Oryzias latipes: one gene and its partners. The protein of the gene in region 1 purifies or fractionates together with the protein of each later gene. This does not show direct contact. Links are inferred from orthologs where the notes say so. Each region holds a gene or a part of one and is shown in the gene's direction. Other genes may lie near its edges.

Region 1 (2,928 bases):
TTACCCGCCGTCATCGTAGCTCCGCCCAGGACCTCTGGAGGAGACGTACATCGCTACCATACTGCGGGAAATCCTGAAGGGGCTGGAGTATCTGCACTCCGAGAGGAAGATTCACAGAGACATCAAAGGTAAAACGGAAGACCACTTAGAGAATCTTCACCCAGGAAACTTGTCAGGAGGGGAAATGGACTCACCCAATGTGTGTGCTGGTTCTGGATTTGTAACCCATCCATTTTGTCTTTAACTGAGGGTACTTGCTGTTGTAAACGAATATCAAAAACGTTCAAATCCAAAATACAGTTTACGCAGGCACAGCTTGAAATGACATCAACTTCAGACTAAGTACAAATTCAAAAAGTCTCCCAAACATAAAAAAACCCTTAAATGGTACGCTCCAATCGCTTGATACACACACTCAAAACCACACCTACACACAGATCAGAGTCACAAGAACACCAGGATGGATGGATGGATGGATGGATCTTTATTTGTCAAAGTCATACATACAATGAAATTAAAAGTGCCTTCTGGTCAGTGCAACATTCATCCATTAAAAAAAAATGTAAACAACTTACTACTAAAATAATACATAAAACTACATAAAAACCTCTGGCACCACCCCCTCTGACACCGCCCCCTCTGACAGCTCCGCCCTCTGGCACCGCCCCCTCTCGCTGTGCCAGAATGATTGAAAGTTTGAGGGGGAAAAATGGAAGATTTGAAACTCGAATAAAAAAACTTTTAATTATTACCAAATGAAAAATATTCTTTATAAAGTTTGTAGTTCCAGTTTAGAGCTGAAAGCACCAGAAGCGCTTTCAGCTGATGGGAATCATGTCACGACAGCCAATGAGCTTCCTTAACTCAGGTTCAGCAGAAAAGACTGAACGTCTGAATTCAAACTCTAAACGTAAAACGGAAATTAAAGAATAAAAAAAGAAAACAAAAACAACAGCAGCTGTTATGAATAAACAATATTTTTCATTTAGTAACAGTTTAAGCTTTAAAGTTTTGTTTTTTAAATTGAAGGTTCAAAATTAAAAAAAAACATTTCTTTTCAAATGTTCAATATTTTTAGACTTGAATCATGCTTAAGCCTGTTTTGAAGTGTTGACTTTTTGTCTTCCAATTGATGTGACCCTCTAGTTGTGCCTCTTTAGCCGTCCTGACCCGAGGCTGCAGGTCTTTCTAGCTAGTTAGTGGACACGGCAGTGACTGACGTCTGTCTCCTAGCTGCCAACGTGCTCCTGTCAGAGCAAGGCGACGTGAAGCTGGCAGACTTCGGCGTGGCGGGACAGCTGACGGACACGCAGATCAAGAGGAACACGTTTGTGGGCACGCCGTTCTGGATGGCTCCAGAGGTCATCAAGCAGTCGGCCTACGACTTTAAGGTGAGGGAAGTCTGTTCCAGAGCTGAAGAGCGTCTGTGGTGCTGACCTGTCTGGGAGGGGGCGCAGGAATGCTGAGCTTTTGAAACAGCCATTGAATTCATTTCTGTTTGGAAAAGCTTCATTTGGTTCACCTTTCCTTACACTCAGGCGGACATCTGGTCTCTGGGAATCACTGCCATCGAGTTGGCCAAGGGGGAACCCCCCAACTCTGACCTACATCCCATGAGGGTCCTGTTCCTCATCCCTAAAAACACTCCTCCCACGTTGGAAGGGCCGTACAGCAAACCGTTTAAAGAGTTTGTGGAGGCCTGTTTAAACAAGGATCCCCGTTTTGTGAGTGAAGCTGCATTTTCACCTCCAACCTTCTGTCATGTGATGGCGCTCTAGTGAAACCTTGTTTGTTGTTTTAAACCATCAGCAGAAAAAACGGATCATTTATGTATGAATCCAAGTCATGTAGGAGGAAAAGAGAGACATTTGGTAAATGAGGGAGAATGGCCTTCAAGTGTGCATAATCTGAATTTAACGCACGCCGAGGAAGTCTGGACAGTAAAGTGTGTCGCTTATACCTTGGTCACTTTCAAAAGAAATAAATATTCAACCAGTTTTTAGTCCTTTAATCTTGTTATTTTTTCAGTCTAGATCACTTTTTTTCACAAAAAGCGGACTATTTGTTAGGTGGTGCGGCGGGTCGTCATGGTAACATGACGGCACCAACCTCGACTGCAGCCGCAAAGGAAAGTGATAAATATGCTGATCGTCACGATGGGTTGAATAAAGCATCAGTTCAGAGAGAAAGTTCACCTCTTACCGCTTGTTTTTGTCCAAATGATGAAGATGAAGGTTGTTTTAAAGCCAGCGCAGTGATACAGAACATCTAAGCTTTGTGACCGGAACTTCTTTTTTAGGCGTACATTAACAGTTTTTAATGCACACCCAGCAGCCAATCAGAATCGAGGATTCACCCGGACCGTGGTATAACTCCTCATGAGGACCATGCGCGTCTGATCTTAAGGAAAACCCAGCTGCAGGGTTCTTGTGTGCTGACCCGGTTCTGTCGGTGTTCTGGCTCTTCACAGAGGCCCACCGCGAAGGAGCTGCTGAAGCACAAGTTCATCACTCGCTACACCAAGAAGACGGCTTATCTGACGGAGCTGATAGACCGGTACCGCCGCTGGAAGTCGGAGGGACACGGAGAGGAGTCCAGCTCAGACGACTCGGACATGTCCGTTTCAAATTTCTCTCTTCATCAGCAGCATGGCAGAGCGTGCAGATGCTCCGGCGCTGAACCAAAGAGGGTTCTGCTGCATGTGCACGATTGCTTCCCTGAGTGACAACAGAGCTGGGATTTCTGTGTCTGGAGTCTTCACGTCTCCTCCTTAAACACCCCTCTCCTGTCATTCCTGCAGGGATGCTGATGGGGACGGAGAGCAGTGTCCCGTGTGGACCTTCCCCACCGTCAGGCCCAGTTCTATGAGCCAGTTACAGATGGACTACGCACATTTAGAGTCGGGGGTGAGAACCGCAGCACAGAGCC
Region 2 (3,922 bases), on another chromosome or scaffold:
TTGTTTGTGCTGTTTTTCCCTTGAGAATTTGAATATGAGTGGAAATAAGAGTAGTGAATTACTTTTCAAATAAGTAATGAGTAAAGTCATTTTAATTTCATCCAGTAACCAAAGTAAAGTAATCAATTACTTTTTTTTAAAGTAATTTACCCAATACTGCAATCAAGAAACTGACTCCTTTTACCAAAAACAAGTAAATACAACCTTTGATTTACGTTCATGCTAGTCCTTTCCCACTCTGGCGTGATGCAGTCAACCACAAAATGCAAAGCATACATGCTGCTTCTCTCTGTGTTACATGTGGGCAGTACAGTAGCCCAGTCAGATACACAAAACCCAGAAAGGAGAGGTTTAGTGAGCTGTCCTCCCTGTGGCGTTCCTCCCTCCCTCCCTCCAGCTGTGTGGAGGAGCTGCTGGCTGCAGGAGCTGCCGTGGACTCCGTTGCTGCTGACGGACAGACCTCCCTCTTTGTGGCCTGTGAGGCAGGATGGCTTGATTGCGCCCGAGCCTTGCTGGACGCCGGAGCTGACCGCTCATTGACTACCACGGTAAGGCTGACTCTGACGTTACTGCAGTGTTAAGAGCACAACTGCTAAATGTTATTTATCCAGACAATCAAAAACATGTCACTTCCTGTGGTCATCAGCTTTTCTCCTCTTTGTTTTTTTTTAACAGTATCTAAAACTTCTCATTCATTCAATCAATCAATCAATGAAAAAGTCTTTAAACGGTTTGAGATTTTTTTTTGGCATATTTTTACATTTTATTAAAAATCGTAACACTTTTATTTCGCCAACATGTAGTAATCAGAGGCAAATATTTCCAAAAGTTTATTCTTTTCGATACAATTTGTTGGTAGTGCATTCTATGTTTTATGTGTAAAACTAGTTTGAGCATCCACTTAGTGTAAACTCTCCAAAATCTCCAGAATGTGCTTGAATGTTTCAGTACAAATCTGGCTTAAATAGATCAAAGAATGAAGAAGTTAATCTGCCAAACAAGTGTAGGGGAGTAAGAACGGGATGTCAGTTGTGTGAGGGCTTTAGAGCCTTCACACTATAATTCTTTATTGTAAACTAAAAACATGTTTTTTCTTGCTTCTCATAGGCAGAAGTTTAAACATGAAGACATATTAGTTTAAATTGGATTCAAAAGAAGTGACTTGTAATCCTGACGTCGCTTGCGTTTGAAGGATGGCTGCACGCCCCTGCACGCTGCCGTGCGCTCCGGACACGTAGAAGTGCTGCGTCTCCTCCTCTGCCACAGAGATCCAAGCGACCCTTCTGCCTCGCCCCATTTCCTGGCTCTTCCTGCTTCGCTGCTGAACCAGGCCAACAGGGACGGCTGGACCGCTGCACACATGGCTGCTGTGCTGGGCCTGAAGGTAAAAATAGAAAAACATTTAGCATGCTGTTCCCTCGCTGATGCAGAGTTTCTAAGCCCTTTGTGGAGATAATTCTGGTTCCTCTTATTTATATTACACTTGAAGAATTCTGACTTCTCACAGATGTTTTTTTCTGGTAAAATGCAAGATTTGTCACATTTCAGAAAATATGACAAGAAAGCAACTGAAGGCCTTGCATGCATAAACATACCTAAACACATGTGTACATCTATGTTCCCCCAAACAGTGATTCATGATTTTTCTGATAAAAAGATAATCTGCAAATATTTTAAACTTTTGATACTTGATCTGCATTTGCTATAAAGATTTCTGAAACAGTGTTATTTTTATCTGATATAATGTCATTTTTAATCATATTTATGACTTTTCTAATGAAAATAATCTGAATATATTTGAGATATCTGATCTGCATGTTCTATGTTGATTTCCAAAATGGAGTTTTGTCTATTTTACAGAATTATATGGTACTTCCTCTTTGTCATGTGATTTATTGAAACTGAAGTATTCGTGATGACCTAAAACTGTATTGGTAAGGCATAGATGTCTGATAAAATGTTATGAACCAGATCATAATAAATCGTGTAATGAAAATGGTTACAGTAGAACGGGTTGGGATTATATAAATTTGCTTTCTTCCACTCCCTTTCAAGCAATCTTTGATGTAATGTCTAATTATCCTACGTTTGATACGTCTTTGTATGAATGTATAACTGCTGATTGTATTGTTTTGTGCATTATTCTTGCTTTGATTGCTTGAAATTAACCATTTGAAATCCAATCAAAATAAGTTTATAATGATGCACAAGTAACTGTTATTGTCATTGACTGCATAAGAGAGCTGGACTGAGTCCCCCATAGAAAATGCTCCATTCAGTTGCCATTTTTACCCGATACGAAGTCAATGCTTCTATGGCAACCGCTCTCACCAATCAGGAGTAAGCTTGTTGGAAGTTCACAGTCCTACCACTGGAAGCAAGCTACACAAAATCTCTCCTTTTCGAACCACCGACGTGAGATCATGAAGTAATATTTGTTCCAGCACAAAGAGAACTTTGTATCAGTTCTTCTCCACCAGGATTCTGTGGTCTTCAGCTGTTCTGGCCCGTTTCTGTCTTAGTCGTACCCAAAAGGAGCAGCAAAGCCAAAAAAATCCAGCACTGCTCTGTATTTATGTTAGTGTAGCGACCAGTGTGTTGAGAAGTTGTCCCTGTGGTATCTGACATGGTTGAGGGCTACAGCAACCGTTCAAATCTTCATCAGAAGTTCCGAGCCAGGAAAGGCCGTCGCTGACTCTTGTCGCTTCTGACCGGACATTACGTTATCTTACTATTATGATTTGCAATGTTTTGGATGTTTGCTTTTACTTCTTTGGCTTTGCTGCTCCTTCTGGGTTCTACTCAGAGAAAAACAGGCCAGAACGGTTGAGGACTGCAGATGCTGCGCTAACAGAACCGATGCAAAGTCCGTGTCTGCCTCCAAGCACCGTTAATGCGAGGCAAAGACACTTGAATGGATTGAATCTAAACCGATCAGCATGAACCCTCTTGTCTGTGATTGTCTGTTTGGTGGCACAAACATCACACTTATGATGCAGAGTTGAGAAAGCAAAGTAAAGATGGAGAGAGAGCGAGATTCGACATAAGGCGTCTGACAACAGCTGTGTCACAAATGCATTTTCAAAACAAATAGAACTATTTTGAAAGTCAACTTTTAATATTTCAATTTTCTTACAAAATTTTGATTTTAAAGCTGAACATTTTGTTTAAAATTTAGGAAATTTGATTTAAAAAGTGTGACTTTTGTTCTCATTGTGACGGCATAAACATTACTTTAAATGAGACATCTTAGGCATCTGATTGGTCACTTTATAACTTTAATAACCTACAATGAAAGATAAAAATCATGAAAAAAAAGAGGATTTCCAAGAACATGTTAAGAAAGGTATCAGATCAAGAATGTTTTGTCTGACCAACACAATTAGGAACAGCTGTTTATTTCTCTGTAGAAGTCTATGGGATTTTAGCTTCCTGAAGCCAGCAGGTACTTCCTGTTTGGAAACCCAGGGGTAGGGGTCACTCAGTCCATATCCATCTACAGTCGATGGTTATTCTTCACACTGTTTCTCGTCTTTTACCTGCTGTATTTTTCTCCTTGAGTTGTTCTGACCTTGTGTGGTAATGTGTCCAGGACTGTCTGGAGGTGCTGTGTAGCCACAGTGATCAAGACATTGAGAGAAAGGATATGTGCAACCGCACAATTCATGATGTGGCAACTGACGACTGCAAAGATCTGCTTGAAAATCTGCGTAAGTCACATTCACACGGATGACAGACACGTTGTGTGTTATTTCGTTTTTTCCTGAATTGTGAATTTTGTCGCACAAAGATGAAAACGCTGACAGACCATCATAAAACTGAATACGACATCACTAAGTGTTTCACGATGACTAAAACCTTTTTAAAGCAAGCAGTGATGTCTGAAATCTCTCCCTGTGCAGGAAACTTGCATGCAATCATG
Region 3 (3,922 bases), on another chromosome or scaffold:
GCAGGAGGCCTTACACCGAGAGCAGATGCTGGAGCAGAAGTTAGCCACGCTGCAGCGTCTGTTAGCCAACACCCAGGAGGCCTCCGAGAGCAGCTGGCAGGTAGGAGACCTCGTCTTCTGTTGTCCTGAACATTTGTAGACCTGCGCTGAGGGGTTCACTGCAGATGTTAGCAGGAGATAACGGTGGCCATGGGGCTTATACTCATGGAGAAACTGAAGCTTTGGATAGAATTTGAAGATCTGAATTATGACTAACGTGACTCTGGTCTCCTTCAGGCTCTGATAGATGAGGACCGTCTGCTTTCCAGACTGGAGGTGATGGGGAGTCAGCTACAGGCCTACTCCAAGGTAAAGTCACCTTCTCAGGTTCTCCTCTGTAAAAAGGTGAGGCACAGAAGTTCTCATTCATGTCTGGAACTCCTGCAGTCCCAGACGGAGGAGGGGATGCGGAAAGAGCTTTTGGCTCTTCAGGAGGACAAACACAACTATGAGACGACGGCCAAGGAGTCTCTGAGGAGAGTCCTGCAGGAGAAGATCGAGGTGGTCAGGAAGCTCTCCGAAGTGGAGGTGGGACCCTTTGAGGAGTTGTTTGTCCCTTCAGGCTGATGGATTCAGTACCGGTGAACCCAACGCGTGATCTCCTCTGCAGCGCTCGCTCAGCAACACGGAAGATGAGTGCACCCACCTGAAGGAGATGTCTGAGAGGGGTCAGGAGGAGCTGAGGGAGCTCGCCAATAAGTACAACGCCGCTGTCAACGAAATAAAAGAGCTCACCGACAAAATCAAGGTGAGGCCTTGTGCGTTTACTCTGAAAGGTTCGATTCCCGCCCCTCTACATTTGTGCAGTAACACCCGATCGTCTTCTTTCCTTTAGGTGGCGGAGGGCCGGCAGGAGGAGCTGACCCAACGAGGAGAGACGGAGAAGAGGGAGCTGGAAATGAAGATAGAGGAGATGGAGGAGAAGGAGCAGGTTCTCCAGGCTCGCATCGAAGCTCTGCAGGCAGACAACGACTTCACCAACGAGAGACTTGCTGCTCTTCAGGGTACGTCTGGGTCACGTCTAAACGCCGTTTGCTCCCTGAAGCCTTCCACTGCTGCTTCATTGCATATAAACGGAGGACCGAGCCGACGCCTTTGTTCGGTTCCACCTCAGCTGTCGGTTCCTCGCAGAAGGCCGACTGGAGCTGCTGCAGGTCCAGCTGAACGTTCTCTTTCTGCTGTTGTTGTTGTTGTTGTTTACAGCGCGGTTAGAGCAGCTGCAGGAGAAAAGCGGTAAAGAAAACAACAGTCTGGGTGAGTCCACGTCCCGCTGGTCCGCTCTGGGACTGCTGTGTCTGTGGGGTTAATCAGCCTGAGCTGCACTAACGATGCATGAAACGTCCTGCATGGTCTGTCTGTGCACTTCCTGCTGTCGCTCTTTTCTCCTCGTTGAGTTTTTTTTATGATCTTTCAGTGGTTGACTCATTCACACAACATTGTATTGTTGTCCATAAACGCAAAAAGATTTTTTTCCATTTTAATTACCTAATTAACTTGTAGTTTAAGGCGGAAATGTCACACAATGTGAATCCAGCTGAGGGAAAGTTTATCTATTTCCTCCTGAATGACCTGCATCAGAAATACCTGCACTAGAGCTGCTGCTGACGGTGAAGCGACCCAACAGTTTCCACTCTATATTATCTAATTTAGATGTTTTATGTACTTAGTTTAATTCATTTAATCGTTGGTCTATTAGCGTTACACTTAAACCTCCTGTTGTGACAAACTGATGTTTGTTTCTGTCTCAATTACAAAGGCAGTAACTGAACCATTGTATTTTATAAAATGCTGACGTCACCTTAAATATGACAAACTGGAATAGATTCAAAGTGTAACAATTGTTTGTTTTTCCTTTCAAAATGGGTCAATTTACCCAAAGCATAAGAGATTTTATAGTTTTCTCTTTAACTTTGTTCTTCTGGCTCTGGGTGTTGTGACAGAAGTCTTAAAGCAATAAAGTCCATAAAAACATCAAAAATCCTTTAATTTTACATTTAAAAGAGTAAAAATGTCCTCTGTGCTCCAGAAAAACGGACGTAAACACAGAAAATGATCACTCCTGAGGTGGATTTCATTCCTTCATGAGTTCCTGCTTCGTGTTCCTGTCTGTTAGAATGACTGTGGGTTCTCTGTGGAACGCCCAGTCGCATCGCTATGCGCTATGCTAGGATGCTAGGATGCTAGCTGCAGGTCCTGGTTCTGACCTGGACCCGTCTGGTTTCATAAGGAGCTGGTGTGTTTTTCTGGGCTTTGTTCTGGCGGTTCTGTCAGGTGAATTTTGGGCTTCTTGGTTAATTCAGAGCTTTTCCAAACCGATCACTGCTTTGGTTCCTTTTTCCGGGGGGAGGAGCTTGAGGACACTGATTTCTGCACTAAAGGAGTCCTGAAGGTCTCGCTCTTCTTCATCAACGGGCTTCACAGTCTGTCTTCTGCATGTCTGGCTGATGAAGGTTCCATGTGTATATCTGATCTGGTCACATGACAGAGGTGGCCCTCGTCCCTCCCGGAGCTGCAGGGGAGCCCGTGGAAGACCTAGCGGACGAAGACCACGATGAGCCGGATACAGACACCGAGGAGGGGGCAGTTCACGAAGATGAAGATGTTATTGGTAGTCTATCTCAACTGTTTCCTTAATTTCTTCTTCCCAAAGACAGACGATCAAATGTTTGTTCGATGCAGAGCTGAAACCTCAGAACGCGTCTGGCCTGAGACCAGGTCTTCCTCGATCAGGACATGTGCAAGAACTGAAATGCTGGATCCAGATCCATCTGGGAGCCACTTTTCTGGTCCGTCTGAGGAGCACGTCTCCAGATAACTGGTCTGCAGCGCTGTGGCCTGCTTCACGCATCAGTGTCCCACGTTCTGAGCTGTCTCTGGTGAAATGAGACGTAAACGCAGCGTCTCGACTGGAAACTCTGTGTGTGTGTGGCTGAACCTGCTTTCAGCCGCCTCACACACTCGCGATGCGGTCTGCGCCGCTGCAGCCGCTGCAGTCTCCTCACATGCGTCCTGGAGGAGAGTTCACTGATGTTTCTTCAGGTTCAAACCAATGTTGGAAAGGGAGAGCGGGTTTGTAGATGTTTCTCTACACCATGAACCGACCTCTGACCCGAGAAGGTTTGGTGTCTTCTCTCCGCCGCTGTCGAGTCTCATCCGTCTGTTGTTGATCTTTAGATCAGCTTGAATGAAACCTCGTAATTGTCCTTCGTCCGATGCTGGTTTAAAACTTTGTGCTGCGGCATCTTTGAAGGTTTGGTCCAAAATCTTTACAAATGTGGATCGCTCGTTTTCTGAGCATCATCTGCTGCAGTTTGTTGTTCGGTCAGTTTCCATCTCAAGGTTTAGGAGAACACCAACGGCTCCTTCAGCTCCTGGGTTTTTCCATTTCAGCTTTCACATCAATCTAGTCCTGCTTTGGAATGAAGTCCATGTTGGGTCTCAGTTTCTTCTCGGGTTAGGAGCTTTACTCTCTCACAGTTGTCATTTCTAACCCGTTTTATTGTGCCGTCTGCAACATCATCTTCCCGTCAGCATCTTCCGTTCACTCATTGGGTGCAGCAGCTCTGAGATCTGGTGCAGTTTGAGTTTCCTTCGGCTCTGATGTTGTTCCGTCTCCATCTTGCTGCTGTTTCTCACCTGCTGATGCTTGGTGGGGTGTTGCATAGCAGCGTGTTTGACTCCATCCTTCACCTGTCCTGTTGTTCTGGTCTGTGACACGTCTGCCTGCTTCCTCTGTGTCCGTCTCAGGCCTTCCCTGCCGTCTTCTTACCGGACGTTAAGTTAGGAGCAAACGCAGCTTTTTGATTCTGCTGATCCAAATCAAGGAAACCTGGTTTGTCTGCTTGATTTATGGACGTCCAGCTTTAAGCTTCACCACATTGGA
Region 4 (3,502 bases), on another chromosome or scaffold:
TCTTGGAGGCCGCGAGTTTGAGACCCCTGCTGTAGACTCTGGCCCTGGTGCACTAGCCGCAGGTCGGAAGAACGAATCAATAGTTCGCTTATTCATAGCTCAGACGCACATATCAGGTTGTGATGATATTTGTCTCCGTTTCCTTCCCACAGATGTTTACGCGCGCGCGATTATCTCTAGGCCCCTCCCCTACACGCATTTTAGCCACTCACAGTGGCTTTCCCTATTCTTCTAACACGCATTCGCCGCCTCACAGACAGGCATCACGCGAGTGTGTGCTTGCGTTTCATGAATATGTGCACGAGTGTGTGTGTCTGCCTGCGTGCGTGTGCGCTCGCGTATCATTGATTATTTCATTGATCATTGACGTGCCCCTTCCACGTTTAATGTATAAAAAAATACGGAGGGTGGGGGAGGCAAATTTACTGGTAGCACATGTGCGACTGGATGTAAAATTCAGTCGCACACTCTCAAATTTTGGTCGCAGTCTGGAGCCCTGGTGGGATTTGATAGTTTCCTTTGACCTGTTTGAGGAATTTGATCATTTTGAAGACAAAGAGAGAAGACAACCTTTAAAGTTTAGCTTCATCTGAACAAAATCCAACATTTAGAGGTGAGCTTTCCCTCTGAAATGATGCTTTGTTCCTCTTTTCGTTAAAAACAATTTAAACTTTAAAATATGACATGATTGAAGTTCTGATACTTAATCTTTATGTTTTTGTGAGTGAGCATGGTATAAGCGGGACAATGCTCTTCAAGGTGTACATTTTCAGGCATGGCCAGACTTTAAGGAAGTAACCATCCAACGCAAAAAAAAAAAAAAAAAAAAAAAAAAGATTAACCCGATAAAAATAGAGACAAATAAAAAAGGCAAGAAAGTTTGTAATTTATTAATCGCAATTAACATAATAATTTGACACCACTAGAAAAAATGCTTAAAAAATGTAAAAAATGACAGATAAAACTGAATTATAAATGAGTGAAAACTGTGATCAAGACGGTCACAGTAATCTGTGCAATTCTCTGTTGGTTTGGCCTTAAAGACATTTAATGGTAGTTCAATTAGTCTCCAACTTTTTTGTCAGATTTTCCAGGCCGCAGGAGTTGCACGTTCAAAAGTTTCCATCAGGGTTCCTGTTAGGGATGGGCGATAAATTGGTTCCTGTATCTGTATTGCACAATATTTGCATAATTTGCATTTCAGATATTCAAAATCTACCATGATCTCCTGACTGTTTTTTAATAACATTTGAACCTATGTGCAAAAAGAAACACAAAGTTGTGTAAATGGCTGCAATGTGCCTGCTTCGTGCTACACATCTTTTCAAAACAAGGTTGCAGGTTTGTTACTGCAGCAACTCTCAAGTCCTGCTCATTATTGAGCCTAGCTCTGTGCTTTGTTTTCAAAGTGGTAACAGCAGAAAATGGAACGTAAAATGGAAGCAGAATGCCCCCAGCCTTTTGCCCTTTGAGTGAATGCTCCCTCTCTCTACACCCAGCAGGATTCAGGGGGTGTCTGTGCTGTAAACCTCATCTTCAGGGTGGAGTCTGACGGGATTTCAATGGACTGATCCTCCTCAGCAGAGCTCGCATCAGCAGCTGGATCTATCAGCCAGTCGTATTGAGAACTGTTGTCTAAGAAACATTTGAGAAAGAATCCTCGCAGGGAAGACGTGTACAAGTGAATGATCCTTAATAAATTAAATAAAGGATCATTGATTTTGTATGTTCTCAAACTGTAGGACACGCCTCCCTTGGGGGGCGCGGAGGCATTAGCCATTATACATGCTTTTCTCCATTCTTCAACAAATCACAGTTTCCAATCTGTACCGGTCGCATGTGCTAAATGCGTCAACGTCCAGGCGGCATTAGCGTTATTTTAAGATGTTAAACCGCAGTTGACAACCATAATTACGTCTTCAAATGTCACGGTTAGGATCAGCTCGATGTAAGTGACGTGACACCCGCGGATATGCAGTCCCGAACCGCGGTTTGTTTGTGTTCCGCTGCGAAAAAAATTCCGATGTCCAAACATTAGTCGTCCTCCCCACTTCCCAGCCTTGTCCCACCCAGTGACTCGCACCCCCCCCATGGAGGTGCGCTCCACAGTTTGAGAGCCACACCTGTGGACACTTAAGTATCGGTATCGGCAAATATCGGCTATCAGCCACACAGTTGTAGGGGAAATACGGGTTATCGGTATCGGACGTAAAAAAAATTATATCGCCCATCCCTAATTTTTATGACCTCAAAAGAGAGATGATCCGCAACAAGAAATAATCGTGTCATCAGCATAAAAGTGCAAGTTAGCTGTTGAGACATTTTGACCGTGTCGTTGACATAGAACATAAAAAAGTGGTTCTAAAAGTGAACCCAACACTGTCAGCTTTGGGAAAAGACAATGAATTGTTGATGTCGAGCCTAATTCACTGTGGGAGGCTTAATTTGATTGCTTATACATGATCGGACAAACTGTTGATATTGAACACGTTTTTTAAAGCATATGTGTGAATCTTGCTCCTCTCTGTCTGCCGTAGCCGTTCAGAGACTTTAGAGGTGGGTTGTGTTTGTGCGTTCCAGATGGAGAACTGTGGCCTCCGAGAGCTGCTGGGGATCAGCCGTGAGGCCTTCCTCATCCTGAAGAGGGAGGAGCCGTCGGAGAACACGTCGCTGTCGCCGCTGCTGAGCAGCACCGACGTCAGCCTACGAAAGACTTAGTGTCCGCTCCCACCCCGCCACACTACTGCCAAAGCAGCCAGCGGCCCAGAATGCATTGCGTCATGTCTTTGTTACAGCATGTATGAGCCTGTGGTGCCTGTGTACCTCCTAACCCGGGAAGAAGAGAGGTGTTGCTTGAAATGAAATAAATGATTATCAGGTGGTTTGGATTGAGTTTTGAACGTCCTCACAGACTCACAGTGTTCTGATTCTGGTGAACTGCCTCTCTCTTTCCAGTGCTTGTGTTATTGATGTTTATCGCCCACATCTGCTCCAAAAACAGGAAGAGAAATCCACCACAGCAGGCGTGACCCAACATGCTGTTTCACTGCTGCTGGCAGCATTCAGCTCACAGACGCTGAAATGCAGAAATATTCAGGTAGCAAACACGTAGGCGTCACCAAAACGGGCCCGGATTGCTGTGTCTGAGCAGACCCCTGGAATGGTTCAAAAAGAAGAAAAGAGAGTGATGTGGAAGTTTGGTGGCAAACCACGGCGGGGGAGTTGCTTGATCTGAAGTCACTGCAGATAGAATTATTGTGGACTCTCTGCTTCATACCTGAAAACTGTAGACAGCATCTGAAGATCAACCTGCTCTGAGGCACACACCGAACAGAGAAGCTGTGAGAAAAGAGTCAAACTGTTGCCTCTCGCTTCCTCGTGTCATCTTTACTTTTAATGAAGTAAATGATACCTGACAGTTTAGGACTCGTGAAAAGAGGAACATCCCTTTGAACGTGGACTCCAAGCACTTTCATTTTATTGCAGCTTTGTTGTCTTTCAT
Region 5 (4,374 bases), on another chromosome or scaffold:
CAGAACCTGAGCAACTAGTGAAAAGAGGAAAGGGCTAAGAGGACATCCCTGCCATATTCCTCTGTTTGTGTCAAATCTAGGAGTTGTGCCATGTGCAACTTTAATGGAGCTGTTGCATCCATTGTACAGACCCTCCATCACTTTTAAAAATCTTTTACCAAATCCAAATTCTTTTATAACTGGAGTCATAAAACTGTGACTAATTATGTCAAATGCCTCGTAAAAGTCAACAAATAAGATAAAACCATCATCTCTAATATGTTCATTATAATCAATCATTTCTACTATTAATCTGGGAGCCGGTTTAGCTCGTGTTTGCGGCGCCTTCTGTCCGTGAAACCAGGGTTCGACTCCAGGCTGCTCCCTGCTCCCTTCTCTACCTCTGTGCCGGTCCTAAGCCCAGTTTGAGAAGGTTGCGTCAGGAAGGGCATCCGGCATAAAAACGTTGCCAAATTTACCACGCCCTGTTTACCACGCGTTCGCTGTGGCGACCCCTGATGGGAGAAGCCGAAAGAGGAAGAAGATATCTAGTATTAATCTGATATTGTTGGCAATATTTCTACCAGGCATGAAAGCAGATCATTCTTCTTCAATAATGTTATCCAGTCCTGGTTTTAATCTTTTGGTAAAAATGAGAGCAAATATTTTAGCATCATTGTTTAACAGACTAATTGGTCTCCAGTTTTCTATGCATAATTTATCTTTTTGTGGTTTGGGGATGAGTTTGATGATGCCTTGTCTGAGAGTTGGGGGCAATATACCAATTTCTAACACTTCTTCAAATAAATTAGCTAGAAAAGAGGTTAATTTGGCAATAAAACATTTATAAAACTCACTTGTTAGTCCTTCATTTGCTGGACTTTTATTATCTTTAAGAGATTTACTACAATTTTCAACTTCCTCTGTTTTAATTTTCTGGTCACAAGACTTTTCAAAGGTTTCAATTACTTTTCCAATCTTTTCTTTAATATTGTTGATAAATAGTTCAATATCTTCTTCTCTAAAGCAAATTTTAGTGTAAGTTTCCTGATAGAATTTTGCAACATATTGAGAAACCTTTTTTGTATCTTCACTTATTGAATTACCAATTTTAATTTGACGCAGACAGGAAATTTCAAAATCTCTTTGTTCTCAGTTGAAAAAGTATTTAGTACATTTTTCACCTTGTTCTAACCATTTTCTTCTGGATCTAACAAAGGCTTCTCCTGCTTTTTCTTCATATACTTTATTCGATTCTGATTGCAAAGAAATTAGTACGTTTTGTTGTAGATTAATTCGTTTTCATTGATAATCATTATTTTTCCTTATCATTATTGTCTTTGAATGCATCATAAGAGGGGGCGGGGAAAACGCGGAAGTGACGTCATCATTGATCGCAGTGTATCGTCTGCTTGACGGATAGGTGGGGGTACTTTTAAAGCGTTTGTTTGCTGTTTTGACCGTTTTCTCCATACCGTGTGAAAACAGTGCAGGCGTTAGGCGGGAAAGTTCCCGCAAGGCTTGTGCTCGGAAGCGCCGCGGTTACGCGCCGAGCTCGAGCCAACTTAGTTGGAGGGAGTTTCGCTGGAACCGCGCTCGTGAAGCAGGGGCTCGATCGCGTCGCCCCGCGGACCTGACGCTTTCCAGTAAATGGCCTGCACTTTGGAGAAAGTGTTGGGCGACGCTCGGACCCTCCTCGAGAGGCTGAAGGAGCACGACACGGCCGCCGAGGGTCTGATCGAGCAGTCCGGGGCCCTCAGCCGCAGAGTGCAGGACATGAAGGAGGTGGGAAATGCCCTTCCGGAGAAGGTAAAGACTCGGCGGATGAGACGTTCAGGTGCTGGGCGGCCATAGCTGCTGAAAATACCAGTGGGATTTTTTAATGGATAACTTTTGCTAGTAAATAACATGTTAGTACATTTTGTTTGACAGCACTTGGAAGACAATGCAGAACTACGGGAGCTCACAAAGTACAAACCTCATGTTCTTCTGACCCAAGAAAACACTCAAATCAAGGATCTGCAGCAGGAGAACAAAGGTAGGATTCTGTTCGGGCGGTTTCCACGGTGGGTCGTGTTTGTTCTAACCCTCTGGGTGGACTTTCTCCTCAGAATTATGGCTGTCTCTTGAAGAACACCAGTACGCTCTGGAACTCATCATGGGTCGGTACCGCAAGCAGATGCTGCAGCTGATGATGGCAAAGAAGGAGCTGGACACCAAACCGGTTCTGAGCCTCCACCAGGATTACGCCAAAGTACAGCGTCTTTCACACCATCTTTGTGCAGCGTGACATCGTCTCTTTGAGGGCCGGCTTTGGGAGAAAACTCGTGGCGTTTTTACTTGTCTCTACAGGAAGTGCAGAACAAGGTGGAGCAGATATGCGAGATGGGTCAGGTGATGAGAAGAGCCGTTCAGGTGGACGATCAGCACTACTGCTCCGTTCGAGAGAGGCTGGCTCAGCTGGAGGTGAGTACCGACGATCGAGCCTCTTTCCCCAAGAGGTCAGAGGTCATTTCTTCCCCCTAAAGCAGTATTAAAAGCAGCAGAGGGGACGGAGGAGGGCCCACGAAAACCTTCACAACAGCAGACGTTTGTCACAAGAACCAAAGATCTGAGAAGGAACTCCTTTTGTTTTGGTCCATCCATCCATTTCACCTCCAGATCTGACTTCACTGCGTCACTTAAAACTTACAGAAACCTTTTTTTTTCTCTTAAAAACTTCCAGAGATAAAGTTGTAGCCTGAAGGTTTTGAACGAAATGTCTTTTTCTAAAAAACAGGAAGCTGTCCAGTAAAACATTCTAAAGATCACATATTTGTTTGATTCTTGCAGCTTTATTGCATAAATGTTCTTTTTTCCTATAAAATCATTTTATATACATTAAAAAAACTAAGAATGATGAAAACTGCTGTGTTTAGGCAACTCAGTCCCAGGTTGGCGTTTTTAACAAGACTTTGGTTTTTTTCAAATGTTCTATGTAAAATACTTTAATACAGAGAATGTAGGCATTTGTCTTTATTTCATACTCTTCTTTTATCTAGAACAACAAACAATATAGGCAGTACAACATTTTAATTGTGAAAGACGTGTAAATCTTATCACATGTACACATTTAAATCTTTTGTTTTAGTGAAGAAGAAAAGTAGTAGATGGAGTCCGTTGGGAGGAAAGTATTCAGTCTCTTGGTTTTTTTCTCTCTTTCAGATTGAGAACAAGGAGCTTCAGGACCTTTTGGTCATCAGCAAAGAAAGCATCAAAATGTCAAAAAAAGAAGAACCCCACCAGCCTGAAGCAGCAGAACCGACTTCATGAGCTCCATCGAGCTCTGCGTGTGAATTTATTCCCTCAAATGGATTTATTTATAGAAAGTCATACGGCATCTTTAATACAAAAAAAAGATCTATCATCTTGTCTGCAGCTAAGATAATAATTAAAGTGTTACTGTGGACGGCATTCAATTAGCTGTTCTTTGAGGTGTATTTATTAGATTCTAACACGTGCTGTCAAAGTAGATTTAAAGTATTTTTTTGCCAAAGATATATATTTAATCGTCATAGTTTTTTTGGACCCCTGATGTTCACACAATCTCTACTGCCTCCTATTAAAGCCAAGCACCGCTCTGTTTCACAACAGAGAGGACCTTTGGGGAAAACAAGCAGTTTATTCTGATTATATTTACCTGTTTGTTTGAATGAACAGAAGTTTGGTTTGTGCTGTTGCATTTTGTGCAGTAGGTGTTTTTTAATTTTTTTGTATGAATGAAAAACGTTCTGTTTTCATCTCAGGAATTCAGTTTAACTTCATGGTTTGGTGTAAAACAAAATCAAACGATAATAATAAAAGAAGTGTTTTTCCAAGGCATTTGAGGTGTTGTCCCTTCTTCGAACGCAGGGCGGCAGCATCGAGTCAACTTACTAAAAACCTATCGCGAGATCGGAAAAAGTACAGCGCAAACGCTTTTAGGCTATTAAAAACCTATCAAATCACCTTTTCACGCAACTTTCATAATTTCCATTAGTTTGGTTGTAACAATATTTGTCACATTTAAGTGACATTTTAAAAAGACAATCGTCAGAAAGCTCGGATTTCCCACAGAACCTAAACGCCGCATGAGCCCTATATTTGACAGTTGTCGTTTTAAGCTAACGGATCCAGAATGTCTGAAAGGGAACTGGGGAGGAAGCTGGACCGATGCCTGGCAGATGGTGTCATTAAACTGGGTAAATAGAGTCGTGTTTGTCCGGTTTTGTCAACCTGAAAACGAAAAACAAATATTTTGGACTTTGTCATTGATGGGGAGCGAAGCTAACTAGCTAGCCACAAGGGCTCAGGGAGGACAGCTACGTCATCAGCGGCGGCTTTTATTAGACTTTTCTTTAACTGCAGATCTCACTA

What was found.
Region 2: the proteins of stk25 (region 1) and cttnbp2 purify together in Homo sapiens (affinity purification with mass spectrometry; 3 studies listed by BioGRID and IntAct, with this or other methods). This does not show direct contact. The link is inferred for Oryzias latipes from reciprocal best matches to the Homo sapiens genes STK25 and CTTNBP2.
Region 3: the proteins of stk25 (region 1) and slmap purify together in Homo sapiens (affinity purification with mass spectrometry; 5 studies listed by BioGRID and IntAct, with this or other methods). This does not show direct contact. The link is inferred for Oryzias latipes from reciprocal best matches to the Homo sapiens genes STK25 and SLMAP.
Region 4: the proteins of stk25 (region 1) and fgfr1op2 purify together in Homo sapiens (affinity purification with mass spectrometry; 5 studies listed by BioGRID and IntAct, with this or other methods). This does not show direct contact. The link is inferred for Oryzias latipes from reciprocal best matches to the Homo sapiens genes STK25 and FGFR1OP2.
Region 5: the proteins of stk25 (region 1) and sike1 purify together in Homo sapiens (affinity purification with mass spectrometry; 4 studies listed by BioGRID and IntAct, with this or other methods). This does not show direct contact. The link is inferred for Oryzias latipes from reciprocal best matches to the Homo sapiens genes STK25 and SIKE1.

Annotation. Positions count from the first base shown.
Region 1 is NC_019875.2:5,718,220-5,721,147, forward strand, and holds part of stk25 (serine/threonine-protein kinase 25), read left to right. Parts: intron 1-19; coding exon 20-128; intron 129-1,233; coding exon 1,234-1,391; intron 1,392-1,538; coding exon 1,539-1,724; intron 1,725-2,470; coding exon 2,471-2,616; intron 2,617-2,800; coding exon 2,801-2,906; intron 2,907-2,928. UniProt on the Homo sapiens protein: Oxidant stress-activated serine/threonine kinase that may play a role in the response to environmental stress.
Region 2 is NC_019864.2:3,391,479-3,395,400, reverse strand, and holds part of cttnbp2 (cortactin-binding protein 2), read left to right. Parts: intron 1-397; coding exon 398-548; intron 549-1,192; coding exon 1,193-1,384; intron 1,385-3,592; coding exon 3,593-3,710; intron 3,711-3,922. UniProt on the Homo sapiens protein: Regulates the dendritic spine distribution of CTTN/cortactin in hippocampal neurons, and thus controls dendritic spinogenesis and dendritic spine maintenance.
Region 3 is NC_019863.2:32,508,754-32,512,675, reverse strand, and holds part of slmap (sarcolemmal membrane-associated protein), read left to right. Parts: intron 1-4; coding exon 5-100; intron 101-276; coding exon 277-348; intron 349-426; coding exon 427-567; intron 568-649; coding exon 650-787; intron 788-874; coding exon 875-1,043; intron 1,044-1,242; coding exon 1,243-1,293; intron 1,294-2,524; coding exon 2,525-2,647; intron 2,648-3,922. UniProt on the Homo sapiens protein: Associates with the striatin-interacting phosphatase and kinase (STRIPAK) core complex, forming the extended (SIKE1:SLMAP)STRIPAK complex.
Region 4 is NC_019881.2:3,917,547-3,921,048, forward strand, and holds the end of fgfr1op2 (FGFR1 oncogene partner 2), read left to right. Parts: intron 1-2,580; coding exon 2,581-2,718; 3' UTR 2,719-2,887; downstream 2,888-3,502. UniProt on the Homo sapiens protein: May be involved in wound healing pathway.
Region 5 is NC_019865.2:1,582,222-1,586,595, forward strand, and holds the start of sike1 (suppressor of IKBKE 1), read left to right. Parts: upstream 1-1,358; 5' UTR 1,359-1,629; coding exon 1,630-1,788; intron 1,789-1,911; coding exon 1,912-2,017; intron 2,018-2,090; coding exon 2,091-2,233; intron 2,234-2,331; coding exon 2,332-2,445; intron 2,446-3,183; coding exon 3,184-3,291; 3' UTR 3,292-4,199; intron 4,200-4,374.